Saccharomyces cerevisiae S288C: one gene and its partners. The gene in region 1 interacts genetically with each later gene. Each region holds a gene or a part of one and is shown on either strand. Other genes may lie near its edges. The genes, in order: POG1, MET5, MFA2 and MSN1.

What was found.
Region 2: mutations in POG1 (region 1) and MET5 together harm fitness more than expected from each alone (negative genetic interaction), as found in Saccharomyces cerevisiae (one large-scale study listed by BioGRID).
Region 3: mutations in POG1 (region 1) and MFA2 together harm fitness more than expected from each alone (negative genetic interaction), as found in Saccharomyces cerevisiae (2 studies listed by BioGRID).
Region 4: mutations in POG1 (region 1) and MSN1 together harm fitness less than expected from each alone (positive genetic interaction), as found in Saccharomyces cerevisiae (one large-scale study listed by BioGRID).

What each region holds. Positions count from the first base shown.
Region 1 is NC_001141.2:128,143-132,711, forward strand, and holds POG1 (Pog1p), read left to right. Parts: upstream 1-2,467; coding exon 2,468-3,523; downstream 3,524-4,569. Other genes in the region: putative glucosidase SIM1, read left to right, coding at 9-1,439; QDR2 (cation transporter), read left to right, coding at 4,102-4,569. UniProt on the Saccharomyces cerevisiae protein: Transcriptional activator which promotes cell cycle recovery with CLN2, after pheromone induced G1 arrest, probably inhibiting the ability of STE20 to activate the pheromone response pathway.
Region 2 is NC_001142.9:677,467-685,357, forward strand, and holds MET5 (sulfite reductase (NADPH) subunit beta), read right to left. Parts: upstream 5,820-7,891; coding exon 1,491-5,819; downstream 1-1,490. Other genes in the region: TTI2 (Tti2p), read right to left, coding at 1-1,240; GTPase-activating protein IML1, read left to right, coding at 7,101-7,891. UniProt on the Saccharomyces cerevisiae protein: Catalyzes the reduction of sulfite to sulfide, one of several activities required for the biosynthesis of L-cysteine from sulfate.
Region 3 is NC_001146.8:350,123-353,608, reverse strand, and holds MFA2 (mating pheromone a), read right to left. Parts: upstream 1,196-3,486; coding exon 1,079-1,195; downstream 1-1,078. Other genes in the region: MPF1 (Mpf1p), read left to right, coding at 1-789; YNL146W (uncharacterized protein), read right to left, coding at 1,592-1,894; YNL146C-A (uncharacterized protein), read left to right, coding at 2,029-2,223; Sm-like protein LSM7, read right to left, coding at 2,226-2,555, 2,652-2,669; ALF1 (Alf1p), read left to right, coding at 2,938-3,486. UniProt on the Saccharomyces cerevisiae protein: The active factor is excreted into the culture medium by haploid cells of the A mating type and acts on cells of the opposite mating type (type alpha).
Region 4 is NC_001147.6:98,038-102,771, forward strand, and holds MSN1 (Msn1p), read left to right. Parts: upstream 1-1,771; coding exon 1,772-2,920; downstream 2,921-4,734. Other genes in the region: RRI2 (Rri2p), read left to right, coding at 1-1,451; non-canonical poly(A) polymerase PAP2, read left to right, coding at 3,438-4,734. UniProt on the Saccharomyces cerevisiae protein: May function as a transcriptional activator. Increased dosage of MSN1 restores invertase expression in yeast mutants defective in the SNF1 protein kinase, and msn1 disruption reduced derepression of invertase in the wild-type. May affect SUC2 expression.

The DNA of each region.
Region 1 (4,569 bases):
TTGCAGAAATGAAATTCTCAACTGCCGTTACTACGTTGATTAGTTCTGGTGCCATCGTGTCTGCTTTACCACACGTGGATGTTCACCAAGAAGATGCCCACCAACATAAGAGGGCCGTTGCGTACAAATACGTTTACGAAACTGTTGTTGTCGATTCTGATGGCCACACTGTAACTCCTGCTGCTTCAGAAGTCGCTACTGCTGCTACCTCTGCTATCATTACAACATCTGTGTTGGCTCCAACCTCCTCCGCAGCCGCTGCGGATAGCTCCGCTTCCATTGCTGTTTCATCTGCTGCCTTAGCCAAGAATGAGAAAATCTCTGATGCCGCTGCATCTGCCACTGCCTCAACATCTCAAGGGGCATCCTCCTCCTCCTCCTCCTCCTCGGCAACTTCTACCCTAGAAAGCAGCTCTGTTTCTTCATCTAGTGAAGAAGCTGCTCCAACATCTACTGTCGTGTCAACTTCTTCCGCAACCCAATCTAGTGCTTCTTCTGCCACTAAATCTAGTACTTCTTCCACTTCACCATCTACTTCTACTTCTACTTCCACTTCTTCTACTTCCTCTTCCTCTTCCTCCTCCTCCTCCTCTTCTTCTTCTTCTTCTGGCAGTGGTAGTATCTACGGTGATTTGGCCGACTTTTCAGGCCCAAGTGAGAAATTCCAAGACGGCACTATTCCATGTGACAAATTCCCATCTGGTCAAGGTGTCATTTCTATTGACTGGATTGGCGAGGGTGGATGGTCCGGTGTGGAAAACACCGACACTTCCACTGGCGGTTCATGCAAGGAGGGGTCCTACTGTTCCTACTCCTGCCAACCAGGTATGTCTAAGACCCAATGGCCATCCGATCAACCATCTGACGGTAGATCTGTCGGGGGTTTGTTGTGTAAAAATGGTTATTTGTACCGTTCTAACACTGACGCGGATTACTTATGTGAATGGGGTGTCGAGGCTGCCTATGTTGTTTCTAAACTAAGCAAGGGTGTCGCCATTTGCAGAACCGACTACCCGGGCACTGAAAACATGGTTATCCCAACCTATGTTGAAGGGGGTAGCTCTTTGCCATTGACCGTTGTTGACCAAGATACTTACTTTACTTGGGAAGGCAAAAAGACATCTGCTCAATACTACGTTAATAACGCCGGCGTCTCAGTTGAAGATGGGTGTATCTGGGGTACTTCTGGATCTGGTATTGGTAACTGGGCACCATTAAACTTTGGTGCTGGCTCCACTGGTGGAGTGACATACTTATCATTGATTCCTAACCCAAACAACAGCGACGCATTGAACTACAACGTCAAGATAGTTGCTGCTGATGATTCATCCAATGTCATCGGTGAATGTGTTTACGAAAATGGTGAGTTCTCTGGCGGTGCTGACGGGTGTACCGTCTCTGTTACTTCCGGTAAAGCTCATTTCGTCTTATACAATTAAGCTACGTGACTACTACTTTTCCTTTTTTTTTTCTTTTTTCGAACACATCTCACCCCCTATACCTCACACAATCACTATGGTCCCCTTTTCTTTTTACCGATATTTATACTGTCCACCTTTTTCTTTTCGTTAATGGCCTCAATGTTTCTGTACCATTATCCAAGTGAACTTGTTAGACGACCAAATATAGCCAAGATTCATTACGATTATCTTTAACTAGCAAGTAGTATTCTTGGATAGAGAGATTTTCAAAGACGGAACAATTTTAAATAGATTTACATAAGAAAACACATACTGTCCGATACCCATAAGAAATTTAAGAACTCTTTTCATCTTCAGCTTTCCGGCCTCCTTTTACTGTAGCCTGTTCCTAGACAGCTAAAAATAGTACATATGCAGCTCTGCAATAGTCTCAAAGGGGATATTGTGTAGGTTTACGAAATCATCACATTTCCGAATCAGGACATGAAGGCACAACTTTCCGCACGTAGTGTTTTCAGCCCCCAGCGCCTGTCGGCGCGAAGAGGATCTGCGGAGATGAGCTTTGCCCCGCCATTACCCGTAAAATATTACTGTTTTGGGCAATTGTGGATCAAAAAGGGAAAATGCGGATGGTGAAAAAAATTTTTGGAAATTTACTGCTTCAGATGGGGGAACTTTGTAAGTTCTTCCTTTTTTTTCGTAGAGGTTGGAAAATTCAGAGTGCTAAGAAATTAAAAGGTATGCACTGCCTATTCTCATAAAAGCAAAAGTGCACAAAAATAATAAGGTGTGAAGCAATAGTAGAAAAGACACTGGGAACCCAAGGTATCTTATTTTAACAGATAAGTAAAACTAAGATCAAATCGCGTACTGATATCACTTAAGGTTCGCGTATTTTAAAGGCTACGCAGAAGAGGAAATAAATTGCGTGCAATCCCTGCGCTTAACTCATACAAAAAGGCGCAAAACATTTCAAGAGTCCCACGATTAATTGCAGAAATTGAAAAAAAATAAGTAAAGACGAAAATCAAAGTGGATGCCATATTATGAAGCAGGAGCCACATAGACAATCCGAAGAAAAAGAGAAGCCGAAAGGACCAATGGCTGTTGAACGAGAGCAGCATACCTCATTATCTTCTGGTACAACCGTGACAGCTAGTACAGGAGACGAGAGTACCAACAGTAGACCAGTGGAATCATCGCAAACAGAAAAGTCTCTATCGCTTCGAATAAGAATATTAAAACAACTTGGGTTTGACGATATTCAAGAACTAAATGCATGCGACACTGGCCTAGTGGAGCAATTTTTAAACGTACGATTGATAAACGACACAAAAGAACTAGAAAAGATACGCGAGTCAAATCTTGCGAAACTAAACCAGATTATTGATAAATGTATGGAAAGTGATAAAATAAGTGATTCGACATTAAACAAGATTCTTGATATGTCCATGAATAGAGATACAAATAATGATAACAACAATCATCTTACGATACCGTCTCCGATAACGACAAAGAAACGCAAGATAAACGCCTCCGAACTTGCAAGTCCACGAGGCCATAGAAGATATAGATCTGATATACCTACAGTGTCAGAAGTTGAGACAGGGGTCGGATACCCTCAAATACACCAGCAACCAGGCGCATATACTTTACCTATGCCTGCAAATCAGTGGATGAGCAACCCGTATATGCAACCTCCGCAACCACAAGTGCAACAGATAATGCCGCAGTATTTATATCCACCAGGGATGGGACCACAAGCTCAGCTTCCTACAATGAGCTCAAACTCGGAGTCCCAGACACCAGTGATGAGCTCACAGTTTCTTTCCTTGAACCAGCATGGCCTTTACCAACAAAATATAGGTGCTCATCCGGTAATGAGTATGGGCCCACAGGCAAATATATACGGGCAGCAGCACCAGCTGCAACCTGGTCAGGAACGAGACCAGTCAAGAAAAAGTTTTAGTCATAGAAGGTCACAAAGTGCCAATATTTCCATGGCAAATTTTAGGTCGCCCATGCGAAATCCCCAGCCGGCTTCGTCCCAAAGGCCCGTCAATTTTCTCATTCATACACCAAAACATCCTCCTCCCACATGACGTGCAGTAATTTTCATTTTTATCACCTAATTTCTAAAACTATATCCCTTCCTAACCTTCATTCGATGCATCCGTCCACCTTACTTCAGTTCAAAAAAAAATATATATCCATATATATGCTACAGTGTTATTATTACGATTTCTTTGCCTTTACTCCTTATCTCATTTCAATCATGAATAAACAGGATATTGATAATATATGCTGTCATTTTGGATTCAGTCTGCTTAACTGTCTTGTCCACCCCCGGTGTTCTTACCCGTCTGAGCGGTCGTAAGACGGAGGTAATAATTTTTCAGCATCCTGACCTCCCCCCCAAATCTGTGCCTTTCACCACATTTTTCTCGAGAAAATGTGTCTTGGCTCAGATGATGTCGTATGAGCTACTGGACTTTTTTTTGTTGGCCCTGATGAAAATAGTAATGGCGGTTACAGAACAGATAAACGGCGTCACCATCTTTTCCTAGATAAAGAAGCAATCTCTAGATAATGGGGTATATAAATATACATTGTAAAAACGGCAAGTCAGTTGCTGGTCATTTTAGTAGAAACTCTGCTCTCAAACTTGAGTACTGCAACGATGGCAGGAGCAACATCAAGTATAATTCGGGAAAATGATTTTGAGGACGAGCTTGCGGAGAGTATGCAGTCATATAATAGAGAAACTGCAGACAAATTGGCTTTGACTAGGACCGAGAGTGTAAAGCCAGAACCGGAGATAACCGCTCCGCCTCACTCACGCTTTTCCCGTTCTTTCAAGACAGTTTTAATAGCTCAGTGCGCTTTCACTGGGTTTTTCTCCACAATAGCAGGTGCCATCTACTATCCAGTTCTGAGCGTTATAGAAAGAAAATTCGATATTGACGAGGAATTGGTGAATGTCACTGTTGTAGTATATTTTGTATTTCAGGGTCTTGCCCCCACATTCATGGGCGGGTTTGCCGATTCACTGGGCAGGAGACCGGTGGTGCTTGTCGCAATCGTCATTTATTTTGGTGCCTGCATCGGTCTTGCTTGTGCTCAAACGTATGCTCAGATCATTGTGCTA
Region 2 (7,891 bases), on another chromosome or scaffold:
ACCGCGGTTGCTTAGATAGAGTCGATAACTGTTCACCCATAGCGCAGTCACAATTCAGCAACCAGCTTATCGTTTCCTTACATTGTTGTAGTATTGATTCGTTCAACGCATCCTCTTGCGAACACTTATCGTATGTAACTAGAATTAATGATAAAATGTCGAATCTGTGAGCCACTATTCTTTCATTCGGGCAAACCTTTATGAGAGTACTTACCACTGAAAGAGTTTTTGAAATAAGTTTTGGAAAAGTTGTGTAAAAAGGATTTCGTACAATATATTCACCTAAAACAAAAATCAGCCTCTGGAGATGTACAACAGACCCTTCTCTTTGAAGTCTCAGTATGTTCATTGTGCATTCCAATGCGTATAACGTCAAATTTTCGTATGCAAGGCTAGCCCTAGGAATTATGTTTTGCAAGATTATCTCTGACATGAACTTTTCCAGGTGATATTGATACTTTGTGTAATTGTCCAAAAATTCTACTTTATATAACGACTGTATCGTTGGGAAAACGACCCGCCATATGGCTATTGTTTCATCAGCATTGTATGAGGGAGGGAGAAAATAGCACATATTGATTAGCGTCTTTTCGAACAGTGGAAATAAACCAGTACTAGAGAACTGTATCCATTTTGAGTCATTGGTTTCGTTCATAAAGGTATGATTTAATAGCGTCTGTAGGAGCAGAACACCACGAAGTTTAATTCTTCTTATATCAGTGGTATCATCTAGTATGTTTAGAATTCCTGGAATAATCCAAGAAAGATTCGTAGATATGTCTCTCCTTTTCAAATGTAACAGAATTACGTAGAATAACGGAATGCCTTTCAAGCCACCCTGACTTACCCACGCCTGCATTAGGTTATCTTCTTTCAAAGACATTCCAAGCGTGGGTTTGAGACCAAGATTACGTTGCTCTTTGAGTTCGAAGTTGCTTTTGCGTTTTAAAAGTAGTGGCTGTAACTTAGAAATAAGGACGCACATAATTTCGTCATGTTCACTTTTGTTACGCTGAAAGTAGTAATCTATAGTCTGCAAAACATCTGTGTTGATTTGTATGTCTACTCCTGGAGATATGGAGTGATATGAGAGAGATTCAATAAGGTTGACCTCATCGGACACCGTAATTGCACATCCAGTATCTGTCTTCTTTCGTAACTGGAGACACAACTCTCGAAGCCTTGTAGAAGAAAGACTCGAATCATTCAATTCATCGATGATATCAGTTACGGCCGTCATTCTTTTCAATATTTTGTTATATGATTTTATTCTTCACCTCGTTTTCATTCTTCATAGTTTTCGTTTCTCATCTGCTATTGAAAAACCGAACTAGCCGAAGGATAACAATAATGAGTCTTAACTGTTAATATACAAGATTATACAAATAAATATGTTTCTATAAAATAAAAAGTTATATTCAATTGCGAAAAAAATAAATAAATGTGGGAAGAAAACCCAATAGTATGTCCTACTATGTCATATGCTATCATTAATAGGCATCTTCAGACACATCTTCATGGAAGTATTTACCCTCGGTGGTTGGTTTAATGATACCTACTCTTATACAGAAATCACCAAAGTGTTCCCCTTCTTCTCTTTCTAAAGCATACCTTTTAAACAATGGTTTGATGTAGTCGACAATTTCCTCATCCTTCACATTGGCCTTATACAATTTGTTTAGCCTTTGGCCGAGGTAACCACCACCAAGCATCAAGTTATAAGTATGTGGAGCTTTACCAACAAGAGCTAATTCACCTAGCCATGGACGAGAACAACCGTTAGGGCAACCAGTCATTCTCATAATAATGGAATCATGGCGTAAACCATACTCTTCTAAACAATCTTCCAACTGAGTAATAATGTCAGGTAGGAAACGTTCAGATTCGGCAAACGCTAAACCACATGTTGGCAAACCAACACAGGAAGATGAAGATAATCTCAAACCGCTGAAATCGGTGTTATCCAATTTATAGGTCTTTAAAATAGATTTTATTCCAGCAACATGTTCATCTGTAATATTAGAGATAACCAAATGTTGATTACCAGTCAATCTGAAATGACCAGAATTAGTCTTAAGCATGTATTCAGCAACCTTTCTAATACCTGTCTTTTGAGGCAAATCTGGTGTATCTTCAACCCTACCATTTTCAATAAATGCGGTAAAGTGGTTTAACCCAGTTTCATCTTTAATCCATCCAAAGTAATCAATATTAGATTTAAACTCAAATGGTCTCTCAGGCTCGAATTTCTTACCCCAGTATTCCTCCACTTTTTGCTTGAAGCCTTCGACACCCATATCATCTACAGTATACTTTAAACGAGCATGCTTACGGTCTTTACGGTCACCGTGATCTCTTTGGACAATAACGATACCTTCAAGTGGTGGAATAATGTCTTCAGTTTTAACAAAACCTAAGCATGACCCTAATCTTGGGTAAGTTTTCTTGTTGTTATGAGTGGTACCCATACCACCACCAACAAAAACATTATAACCCTCCACGATTTGAGTTTCTGGGTTAACTATAGCAACTAAACCGACATCGATAGATAATACATCCACATCGTTATATGGAGGAACGGCGATGTTGAATTTAAACTTTCTTGGCAGATAAGTTGGACCGTAAATTGGTTCAATATCGACCAAAGCGTTACCGCTAACTAGAGTCTTCTTTTTTCTTGGACCATCTTTTCTGTTTTCAAAAATAGATGGCCAGGATGGATCATCGTCCTGTTCTTCTGGGCCCTCCAGCCAAACTTCGTGGTAGGCCGTAGTCTTTGGTAAGAAATGATCAGAAATCAATTTTCCCATATCAGCGATTTGTTGGTGAACCTTGGCATTGGTTGGTAGAGCAGAAACCATGACATTTCTGTTCACGTCACCTGCAGCAGCTAATGTATCCATAAGAACTGCATTCATTCCTCTCAATGTGTGTTTCAAGTTCTTCTTTAGCACACCATGAATCTGGAAGGTTGCCCTTGTTGTTAATTTCAGGGTACCATTGCCTGAAGTATCAGATAAGTGATCCAGAGCAAGCCATTGTTGTGGAGTGGTCTTACCACCTGGTAAACGAGCTCTTGCCATAAACATATAGTATGGCTCTAAGCCTTGTGACTTACGTATTTCTCTAATGTCACGATCGTCTTGGGTGTAAATACCGTGAAATTTCATTAATTGTTCATTAGCGTGAGTAACACCACCTGAAGAAGTATCCTTTAAGTTCTCACTGATAGTACCTCTCAAGAAATTAGATTCTCTCTTAATATCCTCGTTTGTAACAGGTTTTGGCTCATCATCAACAGCAGCGCCGGAAACACCAAGAGCTTCCCATAATTTAGGTTCCCACTCAGAATAAGCAGTTTGGAAACCATCAGCATCTTGATCATCACCCAGTCCCAAGGGAATTAGGGCTTTGGCACTCAATAATTCCAAGCGCTTAAATAAATCCTGTGAAGGCTTGTTAAAATAATGTTTATCTTCTTTACGTGGCCAATACTCAGAATCACCGAGACCAAAAACAGCAACATTCAAACTAGCTAAATCCAAGTCGGTGTCATTTTTCAGAGCTTCCCAGAAAGACTTACCGTCTTGGGGGAATTCACCTTGCCCAGCCGTGGAAGTAATGAAAACTACATTCTCTTCACCAGGTAATTCTTCCAAAATAATGTCATCCATGGACAGAACAGTAGCCTTTAAACCTCTTGCAGATGCCCTTGCTGCTAGTCTCTTTGCCAAGTTTGCAGCATTACCACCGTCAGAAGCATAATAGACGTGTAGCGGTGGGCCGGACAAACCCTCCAATAACTGATCGAAGGCAGCCTTGCTTCTTTTTTCTTGTTTCCTTGTCAACGCATCACCAGCAGATTGCTTTAGATTTCTTGACAAAGATGGATCTTTTCTGGTTAATAGGGTAAGCTTATTCTCACGGTCTAAGAAGTCCTGTAATTGTTTTCTGATAACCGAAGAATCCAAGCTAAATGCCTCCTTATCTGTTGATGGATCGTCATAAACAGGATTAAACCTATACAATGGCCAGTAACCAGATTCAACGGCGTTTTTGGTTTCCTTTAAGACTTCTAATGGAGTATCATTTTCGGAATTATACGGCAAATAAGCCAAGACAATAGAAGGACCATTGTATTTAGATGCCTCTATTATTGCAGTCAATAGTTGGGTGTAAGAAGCATATACTGCTACAGAGGCAACATAGGCACTGTAATAATTCATGGCGTACAAACCAACATCTTTCTTTCTATCCTGGTTTTGCTTTCTATGGTCATATGGCTCTGAATCAATCAATAAAACATTAATGTTTTTACGGGAGGATAAAACCTGTTGAATACCTGAGTGACCCAAATCATAAGACCAGGCATCGGAGCCAATTAGCCAGCTTGATTTGAAAATAAAAGAATCGCTTGTTGGAGCTATCTTTAAGAATTTTAAGACAGTAGAGGAATCTTGATTAGATTGTAATAACTGAAATATTTCCAAACCTGTCGCATTGGCCTCTTGTAATTGAGCTTCGTCAAGATCGCGTCCATTGAATGACAACCATTTAGATAATAGTTGAACAATTTTATTTGCATCCTCGGACAAGTAAAGACTTGGATCAAGAGAGGTTTTTGCTAAGCTGATCAATTCTTCACGCTGGGCTTCTTGTTTTAAAAAGCGTCCAAAACCAAATTCTGGATTACTTGGTTCAATTGTCTCACTGGAAAATTGATTCAAAATTTGTAGATTTGATGAAAATAACTGTTTTAGCACTTTGATATAGGCGTCTTCTAAGTTCACAACTTTTTTGACAGAAGAAATAAGTTGAGTAACTTCAGCTTGTTCCTCAGCCTTTTCATTGGATTCACCTAAAAATAAGTTATTATCTGGTTCCTTCTTGTTAATATTCGATATGACGGTGTTGATAACGTTGCCATAATCATTCACATTACCAATATTAGTCAACACTACCTGCTCGATGTTCCTAGAAACTAATTCATTAAAATTGCCAAAGAAGTCCAAAAGAAATGGTTGAAATTCGTTTGATTGCGATTTCTTAGAGACACCCTGTAAAACGGCGATTTTGGTAACAGAAGATGGCAGTATTTCCAAGAACTTGGAAAAATTCCATGGTCTGTATACTCTAATCTTGATCAATCCTACGTTTGAAGGCAATACGCTACTGAATTCCGCGTCATATGGTGACAGGTTAACAATGACAGTGGTAATTGACTCTTTACCTTTAACCAGTTCAAAATTTGTCAATGAATCAGTAGCTTCTGATAATGCTACTTTAGTCTCTTCGTTAGCAATCTCCAAGGTAGGAAAGTCGATGTCTTGTTCAATAGCTGTACTCGTGCCAATTTTCTCCAAGTTAAGAAAATGGAAAACTGGGGTCAGAGAACTTGTAGCAATCTTATAAGAAGAGTCCGCGTTTGAAATTGCAGTTTGCAAATCAGAAGATATTAAGATGGGGAAAGAAAGATCCTTTAACGCAGGAATTGCGGAATAATCTTGCAAATTCAAATCCACTGTAATCACCAATGGAAGTTTATTAGGAAGAGAATATAGATGGTGGATGGATTTGACCAAAGTAGTTTCATCTGTAAAAACGGTAGTTAAAATGTCCTTAGAGAGTTGATCTTTGATGGTATTCAATGGATCTTGATTGTTCAATAGATGAGTAGCATCTGTGGCAACAGATTCTAGCCCTTTGAAGGATGAATGACTATTTTTTGTGCTAGTAGTGTAGAACACTTTATTTTGGGGAGCACTAGAGGAATATTGCGCCAACAATTGTGGGAGCGTCAAGAGGTCAGAAGCAGTCATTCGCCAATCTTTTGTTTTTCTCTGGTTCCCGTTCCCTACTGTTACTTTATTAGTATATAAGGGATCTGAATAAATATCAAGACGATGGAAAAAAAATAACAAGCAAAGGAACCTTTCTATATCCCAATTTTATTTCACATTAAAAACTATCGTCTTCCAACACTTTATATAACTGCTTGCAGCGGCCAGTAATTCGTCGCATCTCCATGACTCAAATTTTCCAGTGTCTCTTAGCAGTTAAACCATTCCTGCCTCTGTGTGGTGGTAATTGTGGCATTATGAGTTAAGAGATAATACGCACGTGATGAAATTCATTCTGTGAAATATCACGTGGACAAATTATATTACCCGGATTCATAAATCCACGTATTTTACCTGCATCTTTATTGAGTGCTTAGTAAAAGTCAGTTGGTGAAATTCCGCAGATAAAACAGCATATTAGTTGCCTGAAAATAGCCTTATGTGTTGGTTTGATACGTCTTTGTCATTATATACCCAAAGGTTTGTAGTTCATGTTGCGGGTTGGTATGAATAAATTTTTCGTATTTAGTGATTATAATACTTATTACCCATTTCGGCGGCTAATAAGGAATCTGCTAAGATAGGTAAATGTACAATACCATCAATGGCTTCTAAAAGTTTTCAAAGAAGTGGGATAAGGGATGAAAGTTGTGCGTGTGTTGGTTACTTAGGTTCTAATTTGGCTTCAATTTGAAGTGAGATGTTTTGTTTAACATTAGTTTCAAATTAACAGCTTTTGTGAGAAAATATATTTTGGATGAATAGCAGAAAATAGAAATCTGGAAATAAACAAAACAGAGCCAAAATTCTAAGCTTAATAACATGAATATTTGTTTATCTAGCATCTTGTTCCTCCCACTCTTTTTCCGAAAATATGGCTAGCCAACTTAGGTGAATGGGGAAGGGTACTAGATTCATTCATTTATTTCTATTCAAGGACAAGAACTTTTAACATAGTAAGACCTTTATGTTAGTTTGGTGCGGCTGACAAATTCATAGCTAATGTGCTAGAGCTCTTATATTGGTAATTACTAATCCTTCATTGCTATTATGACTATCACATTATAAGGTAATGAAAAATTAAATCATTGTGTACGGATTAAGTCCTTTCTCTAAAAGAGATCACGTGACTATTTGAATCACTATCTATGTTAATCATTATTGTTTAAAAGATAGTAAGTGACAGAACAACGAATTGTTTCTGTAACTACTTTTTAAGCAGGGAAATAACTCAGCACTGACAAGGGACACTTTTTAAGGATGTTCGCTAAATTGCATGGGAAGAAACAAAGACCAATTTCTTCCATCAATTCACAAACTCCAAGGACTAGCAATACTACTCACGCAAATAGCATATCCTTATCATCGGGTAATTTGATAGTAGGTTCCAATAGAAATTTAAGACAAAAGAAAGAGCAGTTTGGTTCTCAACAAAGGGCTTCCGGCAGAAAGCTGATTTCAAATAAGGAAAATGACGATAACGTCAACAATGGTGGTGACAACAATTATGACAATGGGGAACGGGTCCATCGCCATCATATTCCAGGACTGAAAATAAAGGCGTATCAAGCTGAATTAGGCTATCATGAGTCCCGATTTTCCGAGAATTTAGTGATGCTAAATCTAGTTGAGTTCCCGGATATAAAACCTGGTGATTTGGTAGAATTGAAAACATATCACAAAAATCCATCTGCATCGAACGGAGATAAGAAAATTTATTTTATTGCAAAAGATTTTGACGGAGAGACTAAAAGAAGGGCAAAAACATCTAATGTTTCAATACTTTCGGGTCAACTGCAAACTTTGTTAGATTTGCCTTCTAGGTCTAGGATATGGATAAAATTGAAACCAAACAAATTTGACTTACAGGCAGATGTGGTAGAGTTTAATATCAAAGATTGCCTACTAAATAGAGGTGATATGTGGGTTCTATCATCTAAGCTGGTAGATACATGTGTGTTTATGGATCAAAGACTGGCATTCTTAGACTCTATCAGAGGTACTATTAAGGGAATTTATCGAAATGGTAAGAAGATTGTTTCTGGATATAT
Region 3 (3,486 bases), on another chromosome or scaffold:
TTTTCTCCCACAGCACATTCTGTTTTAACGGCACAAACATCCATCCATGAAAACTTCAGAAGTAGATCGAATTCCAACCCTATAGATCCTTTGCGCTGTGATCGGTCAGTGTTGAAAATTAATAATTTTGAACCGGTATACGAGGGAACAGGAAGGTCAACTATTTCGAATTCTGCTGAGCGTACGAATCGTGAAGAAAAGTTAAACCGTGGCAATGAAGATGTAAATGGAGATGAAGATGATGACGAAGACGAAGACGATGCTAATTACGAAGAGGATGATGAAGATGGATATGTTGAGGATGATGACATCAATAGATTGGTATATTTGGATGAAAGAGAATCTCGCTATGAGAATGCGGACGTTGAGTACGGTACAATATTCAGTACGAAAAGCTTTTCCGTGACTGGTTGTTTAAATCATGATTTTCCAAAGAAATTGTCACTAAAATGTGGAAATAAGAATCAATCCAGTAACGATTCGAAGTGGGCACCGGCGACACAACTAGTTTCAAGGAAAAGATATATCAAAGACTCATTAAGATGCATCAAACCGTTAACGGAAGACCACCCATGGGTAGGTAAGATTATTTTCAAACCGGCACTGCCACCAGCATTCGAAACGAATAATCCACCTATAAGAGTTTATAGTGGTGAAGATAGTACGGACTTGATGCACGTGAAAAACCATTATTTAAAGCCATACATAGTGGGATCCTGCGGGTTTTTGAAAACTGGCTCAAAACTTTTTCACTTTTACGATAGAACTAACGACCTTACGAATTTATGAAATATATGTGTTTTTAATGATTAAATAATAGTCAAAAATATAATTAAAAAAAAAATCGAATGTAATGGGTGGTTCATCTTTCATTTCCTGCGGAGGGAAAGGCGTATCAGAAAAGAAAAACATGAAAAAATCTGTTAAAGTGATAACTACAAATACATATGTATAAAAGTATGAAAAAGTATGGAAAGGGTGAGCTAATGATGAGAGAATTGGAATAAATTAGTTTGCCAGCAACACGTAATAAATGAAAGGGTAGATATTGATTTGACCTCTTGGTTGTCGTCAAAAATTAAGCGATAACACAGGCGGGATCCCAGAAGAGGCCCTTGATTATATAGTTGTCTTTCTTTTCAGAGGATTTATCCTTCTGAGTGGCTTGTGTGGAAGCAGTGGTGATCGGTTGCATTAAGGTTGGTAGTTATTGTTGTATGAAGATGATAGCTCGCTGGTGTCTCTAGTGATGTCAATGAACGGATGAACGACAGAAGAAGTGGATGGAAATAAAATGGTTATTTATCAGATATTTATATACAAAATTACGTGGTAATGCAACAGCTTTTTCCTCTCGCTTTGTTCTTTTTCCTCTGACATGCATGTTTCATTTTCGTTCCTTATGGCATCCATGTCATGTAAATTTCCCGAATAGGTAAATACATGCTTTTTTAACTTAAAAAATTATGGGCGTCCTATGCATGCACTTAACGGAAAAGGAAACTATCAATTAATTATGTAGTAGATGGTGTACCTATTATTGCATTAGTATTTGTTTCAAATGAAAACATGCTGCTTTAACTTTTCTAATTTATACCATAAACGGTATAGTAATGATGAAACTGAAAAATAAAAAAATAAACAGTCTGGTCTTATCGACCATGTTAACATCATCAAAATCCACCAAGTTTTCCGAGAAAATAGATGAGGGCCTGTTATTATTACTAACTGAGTTTGAATTCTTTTTGTAAAATCGTGGCAGTAGTTCTTGAAATGTCATTTTGAAGGACACTGAGTTTCGAAATATCAACATTATGAGTATGAATAAAAGTGTAAGGATAATGATCCTTTTGAGTTCCATGTGATGAGAAGTGGTATGCTTAGTATTGCTCATACTGGACAAATACGAAAGGAATCAGTAAATAATTAAGATTGTAGAGGGAGGGGTGTATGTGTATGCGGATACTTTTTTGATTTGGCAGAAGGAAAATTGGTATTGGCAGCTGTACAGTGACTCCCCTTATACAAATGATCTCAGTTTGTTTCGTTTTTCCTCATTCTCTGGCTTTAGACTTCAAATCGCGGTGTAAAAAAAATAGGACAAAACTATGTAGCGCATACTATGTCAGTCAGGTATTGAGAATATGTAAAGAAATGCCATACCGTGATTTGATTTTGTTTTCAACTGTAAGGAAGGGAGTTTATATGAGATTATATTATTAAACCTATTTTTGCATATATAGTACATCAGAACCTTCGGCGGAACTTAAAGAGACCAAAATAGTACCTCTTATGACGGTCAAACCTAGCTTTCTTGCGTTTTTAGAAATCAGTTCAGTGTTGTTTTCATCATCAGGATTAGACATATATTCTACTGTATCATCAAGTACCAAGTTCATCAGTTGATCATAGCCTTTTAGGACACCTATAACTAATTTACCACCCATTAATTTGACGCGAATTTTAGAATCTTTATACTTCGCTAAATCCAGAATAGCTTCTCTTTTAGGGCCTTCGAATTTTTTCCTTTGCTGTTGTGGTTTGTTCTCTGATTTCTTAGTTCAAAAAGGAAACATAGTTATTATAATGTTAGTATAAATAAGTCAAAAGGAAGGTTATTGCCACGGAAGAAAATAAGAAGTGAAACATACGGAGTGTTGCTGATGCATGTTTTTTTGGTTAATGTTCTGTGTAGTAAACAAAGTGCTGCTCTCAAATAACTTTCTTTTTTACTGTAGTAGTATACACGTACATGCGTATTCTTAATTGTCGTTTCCCAGTTGTCTGTTTTCAGCTACAGCTTTTTTCGCCTTTGTTCGAAAGAACAGTACTTTTTTCCGGCTCGCAGGGAAACGGCAGTTGAAGAAGACAAGCGACAAGAACATAGAGCAACGAATTCAAATAAAGAGATAGAAAAAAAAATTACATGGCAAAACTATGGTTAGAGTTGTCATAGAGAGTGAATTGGTCCGTACAGAAAAGGAATTACCAAATTCGCTTAAATTAAGGCAGTTCAAGGACCGATTGTACCATGTTACCGGAGTGGAACCAGAGGATATGGAAATAGTTGTGAAAAGACAGTACGACAACAAGGAGATATATAGTACTAAAAAGGGGGGTGCCTATTCAAATGAGGATGAAGATGCCAACTTCCTAAAAGGAGAGGAGGAGCTTATTGTGGTTGTTACAGACTCTAATGCCCAATCAATCTCTAACCAGCTGGCCACGCAAGCGGAAGGAATCCCCTCAATGGAAGTAATTAGCGAGGAGGATTATTTGCGAAGGGATCAATCCGTATTACGATGGAAGATGGCTCACGGCTATGGTAGGTTTAATGCTGCACAGCAGAGCCAGCGCGCTGCGCTGGCAAAGCAGGACGAAGCATATGCCCGAGAGCAATTAACGGCGGCTATCGGCCGCCACTGTCGTGTCACAGTAGACGGGAGCGCTCCACGTGAGGCCATTTTACGGTACGTAGGACCACTA
Region 4 (4,734 bases), on another chromosome or scaffold:
AAATTGATGGAAATATATTTGAATTACTTTCTGATACTTTTGAGGTATTGGCACCCAAGTGGGAAAGAGTATTCTTGTTCGACATCGAGAAAGTTGATAGGGAAAATATGATCTGCAAAATTGATTTCCAAAAAAACTTCATGGATCAGTTTCAATGGATTTTAAGAAAGCCTGGCAAGGATTGTAAACTCCAAAATCTCCAGCGTATAATTAGAAAAAAGATATTTATTGCCGTTGTTTGGTATCAAAGGTTAACCATGGGGAATGTATTCACCCCGGAAATTTCTTCCCAAATAGAGATTCTTGTGAAAGATAATGAATGCTCTTCTTTTGAGGAAAATAATGATTTGGAAAGTGTATCTATGTTACTGCAGTATTACATATTGGAGTATATGAACACTGCACGAATAAACAATAGAAGGTTGTTTAAGAAGTGCATTGACTTTTTTGAAATGTTGATATCTAAGTCGCTTACTTTCTCACAAGAATCTGGACTGATGGTAATATTATATACCTCTAAGATTGTATTCATTTTAGACTCTGATTCAGAGAATGATTTATCCTTTGCGCTGATGAGATATTATGATCGGAAAGAAGAGCTAAAAAATATGTTCCTCTATATCTTGAAACACTTGGAAGAGATGGGAAAACTTCGGGAGAGGGATATTACCTCTTTGTTTCACAAGTTCATTCTTAGCGGCTTCATTTTCACGAGCATGATTCTAGAAGCAATTAGCACAGACAAGATTAATCCTTTTGGTTTCGAACAAGTGAAGATTGCGCTAGGCAGCCCTATTGTTAACGTATTAGAAGATGTCTACAGGTGCTTCGCACAACTGGAACTAAGACAGCTGAATGCAAGTATATCTCTTATTCCTGAATTGTCCGTAGTACTAAGTGGAATTATTCAAGATATTTACTATCTGGCGCAGACATTAAAGTTGTGGAGAAAAATTGCACGATTATACTCCTGTATCTCCATAAGTGACATTATAAGTATGCTGCAAATAAGTGATGACAATGAAATGACAAGAGATGATTTGCTAACAATTTTAATGAGGTCAATAATGAAAAATAGATCGGTTGTGTATTTTAAGTTAGATTTGACAAGTGATTTAGTCTATTTCGGAGACGAGAATAAAGTCATGCTACCGAGATGTTCTAAAGAAGAATTTCGTCTTATGATCTCTCCCAAGGATGAAGAAACCACTGAAAAGGCCAGGCTAATAGATTTTGAGTACGTTAACGATGTCGCGATTTATAATAACCCAACAAGAATAAGAACCAAATCCTCTAAAGAATTTTTCAATACATTAAGAAAATCTAGGGAAACTGTAAAATTACCGAGGGTAAGCAACCAGTCGAATGAAGATACTTTTCTACCATCGTATATGAAGTTTTCCAACAAGTACCTCGAGCTGTGCAAACTGGCCTCTAACAATCTGGAATAGAATGTCGATCAGGCACGTTCGTGTAAACATTACGATTTTGGAATTCCACTTACATAAGATAGCTTCTTTGTAAAAGCCGTTCGAAGATTTCGTTTATAGTGATGCTTTTTCTGGAGAGATTTAAGATAATAAGGATATGTGGAAGGAAATGAAAATGTACACCTACAAAGCGTTGATGGTATGGAAACTATCGACCATAGTTTGTTAAACAGGAAATATTTGCTTGAGGGTAAAGTGTTCTGATTCATTATACAAAGCCCCTTGCTTATAAGAAAAGAAACCAAATCAGAAAAGGAGATTATTTCAAGGTAGGCATCGAAATGGCAAGTAACCAGCACATAGGAGCTTCAAACCTAAATGAGAATGAGGCTATATTAACCAACCGCGTTGCTGAGCTGGAAAGGCGTATGTCGATGTTTGAGGGTATATTTCACGCGTTAAGTAACCGTCTCGATCTTCACTTTAAAAAATATGATGTAGTGGTAAACTCCCAACAGCAACAAATCAACGAACTGACCGCGTTTTTATCAACATTGCTGAATGACCAACAACGCCACGCTGAAATTCTCAGTGAAAAATTAAGCGGAACGTTGCATGGGGTGTCAGCTACGTCAATATCCTTAAGCCAAACTCTTGACCCACAAGGCTTCACTGATGGAACTACGGCACCAGGAGCTCCTAGGAATTATACTTCAGTGCCTATGAATAATGATCAAACTGCTCATCCGCAAAATGAAGGAGCTGTTAGTAATGAAACACTTTTTGAGGACATTTTGAATGGAAATTCACAAGAAAATGATAAGAGTCAACAACAAACTAACAGCTCAAATTCTATAAGCCAAGAAAATAATAGCACCAACCCTTCAGTGGACACTCGGTTCAACAAGCCGCAAAATTATAATTCCAATTTAGTCCCATCCTTGGAAGAGTATTCAGCAAATCCACCTAACAATGATGGTGGCCAAAGTCAAGGACTGTACATAAGCAGCAACTCTTCTCAATCACGGCAGTCTCCTAATCTCCAGAAAGTTTCTCCTAACCATGAAAATGCGGTTGAATCAAATGCACAAGAGAGCGTGCCGACATTTGAGGAGGAACAGTATGAGACTAAAACAGGATTGAAACGGAAACGAATAGTCTGCACAAGACCCTTCGAATTTATCAAGTCACCACACTCTGTGATGGAGGTTTGGAAGGAGTATACAGAAGGTGTTAACGGGCAGCCTTCTATAAGGAAAATGGAAGCTCTTTATCAAACGGCATGGAGGCGAGATCCAGCAGTAAATAAAAGATATTCGAGAAGAAAGGTTCTTTGGAAAGCCATTCAAACTGGCCTTAATCGTGGGTATTCATTAAACTATGTTGTTGAAATATTAGAAAACTCAAGATATGTTAATGATAAACAGAAGGTTAAACAACCTATTGGTTGGTTATGCCACAGTTCTCATATTCCAGAGACTTTGAAGTGACATTTGCTTCTTGTGTATTCACCTTTATCCCAAATTAGCCCTTGTAACACTTATGCTTTTCTTAATAAATTAATAATTGGACTTTCCTTTAAAGTGGGTTGTATCTGTAACAATAATCTCTAATAATATCCTATAAAACTCAGAAGTCAGCCAACAACAATTGTATACGTATACATATCTATATAATATGCCTTGTACTTTACGCTCTTGAATTTAGAATAGCTGAACACCTAACTGAATTTAAGTAAAGGATCCCAAGCGTGAGATATTTAGGTTTACTCAGTTTTCTTATCTTGCCTTTTGATTATCACGTTGAGTGTCGAAGAAACCTGTATTCATCCTCGGCTTCTTGTATATGATTCTAAAATAATGTGTGAAAAAAAAAATAAAATAAAAAAAAGAGGAAAATAATATAGAATAACTATTAAGTTTCATTAAAAAAAAACCATTTGAATATACGACCAAAAACGTTACGCTTTCATAAAGTGTGAATAAGCAAGGGAACTATACTTGAAATATGGGGGCAAAGAGTGTAACAGCCTCTTCTTCAAAGAAGATTAAAAACCGGCATAATGGGAAAGTGAAAAAGAGCAAGAAAATCAAGAAAGTACGGAAACCACAGAAGTCTATATCCTTGAACGACGAAAACGAAGTAGAGATTTTACCTAGTCGTAATGAGCAAGAGACAAATAAATTACCTAAAGATCACGTCACGGCGGATGGAATTCTTGTATTAGAACATAAATCTGATGATGATGAAGGATTCGATGTCTACGATGGACATTTCGATAACCCTACTGATATTCCCTCGACTACTGAAGAAAGTAAAACGCCTTCATTAGCAGTGCACGGGGATGAGAAGGATCTTGCTAACAATGATGATTTTATCTCTCTTTCTGCTAGTTCTGAGGATGAGCAAGCCGAACAGGAAGAGGAGAGGGAGAAACAAGAATTAGAAATTAAAAAAGAAAAGCAAAAGGAAATCCTTAATACTGATTATCCATGGATTTTAAATCATGATCACTCCAAACAGAAAGAAATCTCGGACTGGCTAACCTTTGAAATCAAGGATTTTGTTGCCTATATCTCACCAAGTCGTGAAGAAATTGAAATTCGTAATCAAACCATAAGTACAATAAGAGAGGCTGTCAAACAGTTATGGCCAGATGCTGATTTGCACGTGTTTGGATCATATTCTACCGATTTGTATTTGCCTGGTTCCGATATTGATTGCGTGGTAACGAGCGAACTTGGTGGTAAGGAAAGTAGGAATAACTTGTATTCGTTAGCAAGCCATTTAAAAAAAAAAAATTTGGCAACAGAGGTTGAAGTTGTCGCCAAAGCTCGCGTTCCAATCATCAAGTTTGTTGAGCCACATTCAGGGATCCACATAGATGTTTCATTTGAGAGAACAAATGGTATTGAAGCAGCAAAGCTTATTAGAGAGTGGTTGGACGATACCCCCGGCCTGAGAGAATTAGTCCTTATCGTAAAACAATTCCTACACGCAAGAAGACTAAATAATGTGCATACCGGTGGTCTTGGTGGGTTTAGTATTATATGTCTTGTCTTTTCCTTTTTGCATATGCACCCACGTATAATAACTAACGAAATAGATCCAAAGGACAACTTGGGTGTGCTCCTGATAGAGTTTTTTGAACTTTATGGGAAAAATTTTGGTTATGATGATGTTGCACTGGGATCATCGGATGGATATCCAGTATACTTTCCAAAATCGACATGGAGTGCTATTCAGCCTATTAAAAATCCATTTTCATTGGCCATTCAAGATCCAGGTGATGAATCAAATAACA